Linked DNA regions of Callithrix jacchus. The protein of the gene in region 2 binds, or shares a complex with, the protein of the main gene of each other region. Links are inferred from orthologs where the notes say so. Each region holds a gene or a part of one and is shown on either strand. Other genes may lie near its edges.

The links. Proteins that work in one complex are often made in the same cells at the same time.
Region 1: the proteins of NTRK1 (region 2) and NGF are in contact, whole or in part, in a crystal structure (PDB 1WWW), measured with the Homo sapiens proteins. The link is inferred for Callithrix jacchus from reciprocal best matches to the Homo sapiens genes NTRK1 and NGF. Residues at the interface, in NP_002520.2 of Homo sapiens: His291, Val294, Glu295, Met296, His297, Cys300, Pro302, Phe303, Ser304, Leu333, Glu334, His343, Gly344, Cys345, Arg347, Thr352, His353, Met379, Asp380, Pro382; in NP_001424474.1 of Homo sapiens: His125, Pro126, Ile127, Phe128, Arg130, Gly131, Glu132, Phe133, Ser134, Ser138, Ser140, Trp142, Tyr173, Phe175, Arg180.

The regions. Positions count from the first base shown.
Region 1 is NC_133508.1:153,317,312-153,321,350, forward strand, and holds the start of NGF (beta-nerve growth factor), read right to left. Parts: upstream 2,801-4,039; 5' UTR 2,501-2,800; coding exon 2,427-2,500; intron 1-2,426. UniProt on the Homo sapiens protein: Nerve growth factor is important for the development and maintenance of the sympathetic and sensory nervous systems.
Region 2 is NC_133519.1:17,273,666-17,277,165, reverse strand, and holds part of NTRK1 (high affinity nerve growth factor receptor), read right to left. Parts: intron 3,357-3,500; coding exon 3,339-3,356; intron 3,169-3,338; coding exon 3,113-3,168; intron 2,823-3,112; coding exon 2,720-2,822; intron 2,202-2,719; coding exon 2,055-2,201; intron 1,666-2,054; coding exon 1,535-1,665; intron 1,364-1,534; coding exon 1,191-1,363; intron 1-1,190. UniProt on the Homo sapiens protein: Receptor tyrosine kinase involved in the development and the maturation of the central and peripheral nervous systems through regulation of proliferation, differentiation and survival of sympathetic and nervous neurons.

The DNA of each region.
Region 1 (4,039 bases), on a different chromosome or scaffold from region 2:
TTTTTCAAAATGATCCACCACAGAATTGATTTCTCGGTACTGGCTAAGCCTGAGAGCTGATAGTTTGTGAGATCAGAGGTGCAAGCCAAAGAAAGACACAGGAATTCTTTCTGTGTCACAGAAAGGTGTTTTTCTGGGAGTATGTGTTATTTGTACACAGATATCCAGAGATTTTTATGGAAGCCCTCAGCAAACCTTCCATTGCCTCCTGAGAGCAGAGGATTTGCTGCCAGCAAAGGTCTCTAAGGCTTGCTCTAGACTCTAAAGTCCCTGAAAGTTCTTACTGGGAAAAGGTATATGGCTGGGCCTCTAGTCCGGGGTCTGACACTGACATCTGCTTGGGGATCTGGGCCTTGGCCCTGCTCCATGCCCAGTAAAGAAGAGCAGTGGCCGAATCTCTGTGGAGTTTCCCTGCTGCTCTGATGCAGTACAGCACTCCATGAATGAGCAGCAGGAGTGCTCAGCACACTTTAAAAAGTAAAGTTGTGTGGTTTTTTTCATCAGTTTAATCTTGGTAATGATGAGAAACTTCCCTCGGGCTCCAGCCCTGCCCTGCCCTACCCTACTCTCCCTGCTGATGTCGGCAGCCAGGGCCCCCTTCTTAGCCAAGGCACAGATTTCTCCCTGAAAGAGAATGAGACTGTGAAGCCTCATCTCTTGCTCCCACTGGTCCTTGGGGTGGGGGAGTTTTGGGGTGGGCAATAGAAGAAGGCAAGAACCTCATTCCTTGGTAAGGGTTAAAAGTAGGGAAAGAGCCACCAACACTGGAATGCCTGCCCTGAGTGGGCCTAGTTCTCCATTTTCCTGGTGAGCCTGGGCTGCTGTCAGAAATGCAGTGGTGCCAGCAGCTTGTTATAAAATCATCTGAGGTACTCCTATACATCTGTCAAACTACTGTTCTCATGCCCCAGTGATCTTGGCTTCCTATTTTGGGTGCTTACCCCCCTTTCCCCCCGCTTCAAGGATTCTCTTTTTCACCCACATAAATGACGTTGGGGAAAGAGTGGGGTAAGAGTTTGGCCACATATGACATTATCCCCCTTCATCAAGAGGAACGTTCACTTTTTATGTGAGTCAATTCCAGCCAGGCCAGCCTCAGCCCCCAGACCCGCCCTACTCCTCTGACCCTCTGGGAACATGCCCATCATGAATGGACATTTGGGTTGCTCAGGTTGACATATGACTTATTGAACAAAAGAGACTCATCAGGTTTGATATAGCCTTTCTTCTGTGATTCTGCAGAGGGAGAAAGTTTCAGACACTCAGGAGGAAACGGTGAACACAGGGTGAGAAGGGCTGGCAGGGGCCAGTGGCTGCTGCCCTTCTGCCCTGCCTGGAGAAGGGGAAAGACTCCCCTCCAGCAGACCTAACTGACAGCTTCAAGAGTTTGAAGACCCTGGAGAGAAGTTACTGGTGGGGCCTCCACTGTCATTTCTACATTTGCAGAATGCAGCTGGCTGTGCATGGATTGGAAAGGAGGGGACTGGCACTGGCGGTGGGTGTGCCCAGAGGATGGAGCCAGGACAATTAATCAAGTGCCTTTTCTACAGGATTTTCATTGGCCTCGGATGACAGATGGGGCAGAGGCACCCAGGAGAGCACTATTTTGGTTTCCAGCTGGGAACGTGCACTAAGTTTTCCTTAATGCCCACAGCACCCAAAAGGCTTTGCTGTAATACACTTTAATGCATGAAAACTCATAAATTATCCTTCGAACTGTTACAACTTCCAACCTGGAACAACTTGCAAAAACCAGCCTAGCAAGCAGGTTCTTTTTTAATCTCTCAAATCACAAGAGAAGAAAAAGCTCAAGCGCGAAACACCTTCCTTAAGAATCTTGGAGTTTTTTTTTTTTAAGAAGGAGGTTTGTAATTAGAGGGAGCTGCTAAGCTGCTTGTTTCTGCGGGCTCAAAGTTGGAGTTCCCTGACCCCTGAGTTCTCTCTCCCTCCCCTAGATCCTCCTCGCCTGAACCCAAGTGCCGCCCGCCCCAACCTTCCACGCCAGCTTCTCCCACACCTGGCAGCAGACAGCTGGAGATGAAGCGTGTGGCCCAAGTGGCAGGGCTGAACCTTGGCGACCTCTGCCTGAGGTTGTCCAGCTCCGCTCCATGGAGGGCTCTGGTATGCCGGACGGACCCCGACCTTGGCTCGCAGGCTTCCTGCATTAGTCCCCAGGCCCCCCAGTCCCGACTCCCAGCCCTTCCAGTCACGCGGAGGGAACTGCCCTAGGTCTAGCCGACCTGCCCGCCAGTTCCCCTACCTGGGGGCAGCACAGCACTTTCCCCGACTCGGCGCGCACCTCGGCCCGCGCGCTCTGCGCTGCCCCCTCGGTGAAGGCCACCACTCCTCCCGCCCCGTGCGCCTGCTGCCCGCGCATCCCTCTCCGCGCCCATTCGCTCTCCCTCTCTTGTGCGTTATCCACTTACAGCCCTCGAGCTGGACCATGGCATGGCTGTGGGCTTCTGCAGACGCCAGGGCTGCCCCCTGGACCGCAGGCCATCCCGGGACTAGGAACTCCACGACCAGAACGAACGCTGCTCCCTCGGTCCGACTCGTCCTCCCGCGAGGGTCCCGCGCCCCCACACCCACTTGGGACATTTCTTAGGGCTGCTCTTCGGCCCTCGGGAGCCTCGGGGGTTAACCAGAGAGCTCACCAGACCGGTATCCTTGCATACTTCCCCGAGAAGCCCAGTCACCCCGGCCCGCGCCCGCGCTGCGCCCCTCTCGGGATCGGCTCGGGGCAGCCTGACTCACCGCTGCGCTCCCCTCCGGCTCCCAGCGCTCTCTGCTGTGCCGGAGCGCCGAGCTGCTCTCACACAGGCTTCTTGAATTCTTAGCCCCTCCTCCCGGACTCTTGAGTCACACACACTCCAATCCTGGCCCCCATCCCTCCCCTCCCCACCCTCAGCCCCGCACCTGCTGTGGCTGAGCGGTGGTGCCCGGCTGGAGGGGGTCTTGGGGACTAGAGACCGATCGCTCCTGGAGGGTTAGCCAGACCCAGCCAGAGAAGGACTTTAAACCTCCAGAGGTCAAAGGGAAACCCACTGGGGCCTGAGGGGCCGCGCGCACAAAGCTGGGAGGGGGATTTTCTGGGGCACCGGCGGGGGTCGTTGCGCCGACTGCCTGGGGCTGGGCGGAGTTGCTCGCAGCTTCCTTCACCCCCTCGCCCTGCCCCCACGCGTTGCCCGTCGCCAGCGCCTCCCTGGTCTGCCCAGCATCGCCCTCGGTGCCCCTGGCATCGGCTGCTCCCCGCACCGATGGTCTAAGGGAGCTTTTCTTCCGGGGTGCTTTTCCTCATCCCGGGATAGGTGAGCACCCAGGGGAAGCTCTGCGACGGCCAGGTGCCCAAGCTCCTCTGACAAGGGAAGGCGGCGGCAGAACCAGCTAGAAGGCCCCCAGGTGCCAGCGAGTCCAGCATGGGATAAGGGGCAGAGGACTTCAGGAGTCAGGTGCTAGACCCCGACCTTAACTTAAGGCCCTGGGTTCCAGGAGCTTCCGGGTCCCTGGCCCCTCCGAAACTGTAGGCTGATTTGTGCGCGGCTGTGTGCAGGGCTAATATTCTTCTCTGTGTCAAAGGTCCACAGCTTTTGTCAGTTTTGCAACGGGTCTGTGACCCCAGACTGACATAGCCACCTAACTTTCTGCCCAGACCCGCATGCTCCTCTTTCCACATTCCAGGACCCATACAAATTCCCCTTTATTCTCACTGCTCCACCTTAAGTGAAGTGGAATCTTTTTCCTGACCCTCTAAGATTTCTTGAGTTCCCTGGATTCAGCCTGGCAGGGTACCTTGCCTGACTTACCCCTGCCCCTCTGCCAGGGCTGTTCCCACCCCAGCCTAAAACTAGCAAGGGAGAAATATCCCTGAAATCAGATTTGTCACCAAATGTGCATCATTAATTGTAACATTCCAGGGGACTCTTAGCTCTTTGGAAATTTCCAGCCCCACTTCCTCCTGTGTTGAGCTTGTTTGTGTCTTCATTTCTTCCTTTAGCAAAGGTAGGTTGGACCTCTACCCCGTGTGGATGCCACAAAGGAG
Region 2 (3,500 bases):
CAGGATAAGCTCAAGACTCAGGGGTCCCTCCTATCTGAGTCCTGCAGCAGCCTGACTGCATAAATGATCCATCACTCCCAACCACACAGCAGTTGCTCATCCAGATCCACAGCCCCTGCTCATTGTCCCTCTGACTGGTGAGGAAAGTGAGGTCAGAAAAGAAAGTTACTTGGCAAAAAAGGCTCAGCTCTTAAGTGGCAGCTGATTCCAAACCCGCTTCTCCCTGCCTTACAAACACCGCCCCATCCTCACGGGAGCGATCTCATCAGGGAAGGACTCCACCGAGGGAACCGATGCCCATCGCATAGGGGTTGAGAGTAGGAGCTGTGCCCGCGGTCACACGACCCCTGGACCATTTGCCACCTGTATGCACTCAGGCAAGTCTCAGAACCTCTCTAAGGCTTATATCTGTGAAACAGGCACGTTTCTCGAAGCTATGAAAATTATCAGCACAAATAGTGAAACATATCAGAGTTGTTCTGTCCAAAGCCAAAGAAATGAATTTTTTTGTAACGTGCTTCAAGTATAAATTGCAATATATGCCTGGAGGCCATAAAAATAAATACATGTTTGTATTACTGTACAAGATATTTTTGTACCAGCACACAGAACCATAATAAGAACGAATTGTAGAGCCAGGTGCAGTGAGGTGCACCCGTAGCCCCAGCTACTGGGGAGGCTGAGGTGGGAGAATCGCTTGAGCCCAGGGGTCTGAGGCTGCACTCCAGCCTAGGCAAGAGAGCAAGACCCAGCTCTAAAACAATAACAATAAATACATTTTTAAAAATAAAAAAGAATAAATTGTAAAGGATATAACAGCACCTGAACATGGAAGGTGCCTTATCCGTGCTCGTTACTGTTCCTATTGTCATTATTAAACTGCCACCCTTACAGGCCTGGCCCTTGTGTGCCACACACATGCACATACACCTTCTGCGAAGCCCACTCACCCCAGAGTTTTAGCTCATGGTCTTGGCCATCGCAACCCCGCTGACTACTGACACTTGTCCTTTGCAAGAGTTACCCCCCATTCACACATCTGCCTCCTCTATCGTCTCAGAGCTCCCTGGGGACTCGGGGATGGGAATGTGCCCTCCTGATCCTCCTTGGTGTCTCCCCTTGGTTGGAAAGACAAGCAGGGTTGTGCTTATCGGGGAGGGATGACGGGGCCCAGAGCCAGGGACTGGTACCGGAGGAAGCGGTTGAGGTCCCCGTGCCGCATATACTCAAAGACCATGAGCAGGGGGCGGCCCTCGGTGCAGACCCCGAAGAAGCGCACGATGTGCTGGTGCTGCAGCATGGTGAGCAGCTCGGCCTCGCGCTGGAAGTCCTGCCGGGCACTCTCCGACACCTCCTTCAGGGCCTGCATGGAAGGGGCAGGGACAGGACTAGGTGGGGGCCCAGCCCTCACTGCTGGCCATCAGTGACACTCCAGCCACGTCAGCCCTCGGCATCTGTCCCCACTCTGTCCTGATGTCATGGAGCTCCTGGGGGTGGGACCCAGGCCAGCGGTGCCTCTTGGGCAGGGTCTCACCTTGACGGCCACCAGCATCTTGTCCTGCTCAGGCAGGAGGTTGTGGCACTCAGCAAGGAAGACCTTCCCAAAGGCGCCCTCGCCCAGCTCCCACTTGAGCACGATGTCCCGGCGCTTGATGTGATGAACACCTGAGGGGCTTGCAGGGTCAGGTGGAGCCCCAGTCTCAGGAGGGCTGGGGTTGTAAGGGGGGACTGTCTTGGCCGAGATGTGTGCTGCACAAGGCTGCCCAGACAAGGGGCTATGTGGGGGCTGAAATTCACCAAGCCCCATGTCATAGTGTGGGGCTGCATCTGCCCAGAGAGGACATGGTTCGGGCTAGCTGTGGCTCCAGGTGGGGCTGCTAGTAAGAGCCAGTCTGAGCTCAGCCTGAGAATATGACAGGGGCTATGGCTGGAATAGGGTTGGAAAGGGAGGGATGGTTCAGGTTTTGGTGGGTAAGGGCAGCACACGCACACCTGCGTGCACACACACACACACACACACTCGCCCCTGCCCTTGACCCAGCATGGCCCCTCACAGGCATCACTGAAGTATTGTGGATTCTCGATGATGTGGCCTTGGAGCCCAGAGCCTTTGCCCTCAGTGGGGGACAGGGAACTGCCACCCAATGTCATGAAATGCAGGGACATGGCCAGCCCGTCCTCTGGAGCCAGCACAGCCGGGCCTGGGGAGGAGACACAGACACATGAAGGGTTTGCCCACACCTTGGCCCTTCCCATCCTTGCCTGCAGGATGCCTGGTCACCCCCACCTTGTAACTTGCAGGGGAGAGACTGAGGAGCTAGGGAGTGAGATAGCAGGCAGGGGGGAGGGGGAGGGGGCACCACCGCCTCTCCCTGTGCTGGCTCCTGTCCCACCCCTGGCCCCATGGGCACCAAAGAACTCCCCCCTCACCCCCACAGAGCCCAGACCTCCCAGACCCACTTAGTGCTTGACTACAATCCAGCCACCAATTAGCAGCTGCCGCCTCTGAAACGACCCCAGCACCAGCCCGACACACACTCACACACACACTCACACAAGCCTCACAGCCAGGCCTTCATTTATACCCCCACACACTCACACGCCCTGGAACTCCCGTGTGGACAGCCCCGAGACAGAGACATAGTCAGGAAGAGCCCGTAGAAACCAAGCCAGAACAGACAGATAGACAGACAGACAGCCCTGTGCAGCTCCAACTCACGGTTGATCCCAAACTTGTTTCTCCGTCCCCATTTGTTGAGCACAAGGAGCAGCGTCGAAAGGAAGAGGCAGGCAAAGACGGCCAGGCCTACAGCCACCGAGACCTGCTGGGGCAGAGGAGAGGAAGGCAGGCAGTTAGACCCAGGGGTTTCTCCTGCACTCTCAGAGATGCCCATCGCAAGCCATATCTTAACCCTGCAGGAGAGCCCAGAGCCAGACCTCCAGACCCACCTCCCCTCCCCTGGGGACCCCACGCAGTGGCTGTGAGGGTGGCAGACAGAGCTCAGGCCAGACGGTAGCGATCTCTCAGCTCAGACCAGAAATGATGCTCGGATGAGCCTCCACCCAGCCTCCCCATCCCAAGGTCTGCGCAAGCTTCTACTTCCTGTCTCACCCCAAAAGGGGTTTCGTCCTTCTTCTCCACTGGGTCTCCAGATGTGCTGTTAGTGTCTGTGGGGACACAGGACAGGAAATGTGGGCCTCGGCGCACCCTGTCGCCTCTAGCAACCCTCCAACCTTGCCCCCAGCTGGCCTCTCGGGGATCAGCTCAGCTGTGCCTTCTACCCTGGCCTCGGTGCCAGAGACCAGGCAGAACCTGCCCTCCACCCTGGGCTACTCACCCACTGGTGAGAAGGAGACTGCAGCAGGAGGGAGGAGAGAAAGCAGTCAGAGGGAGGAGGAAAGCAGTGAGTCCCCTGCCTACTCTGGGGCTCTTTCCTTCGTGGGGCGAGGGTGGGATGGAGGTGGGCTGCTGGGCCTCAAGGGAGAAGATGCATGTGGCC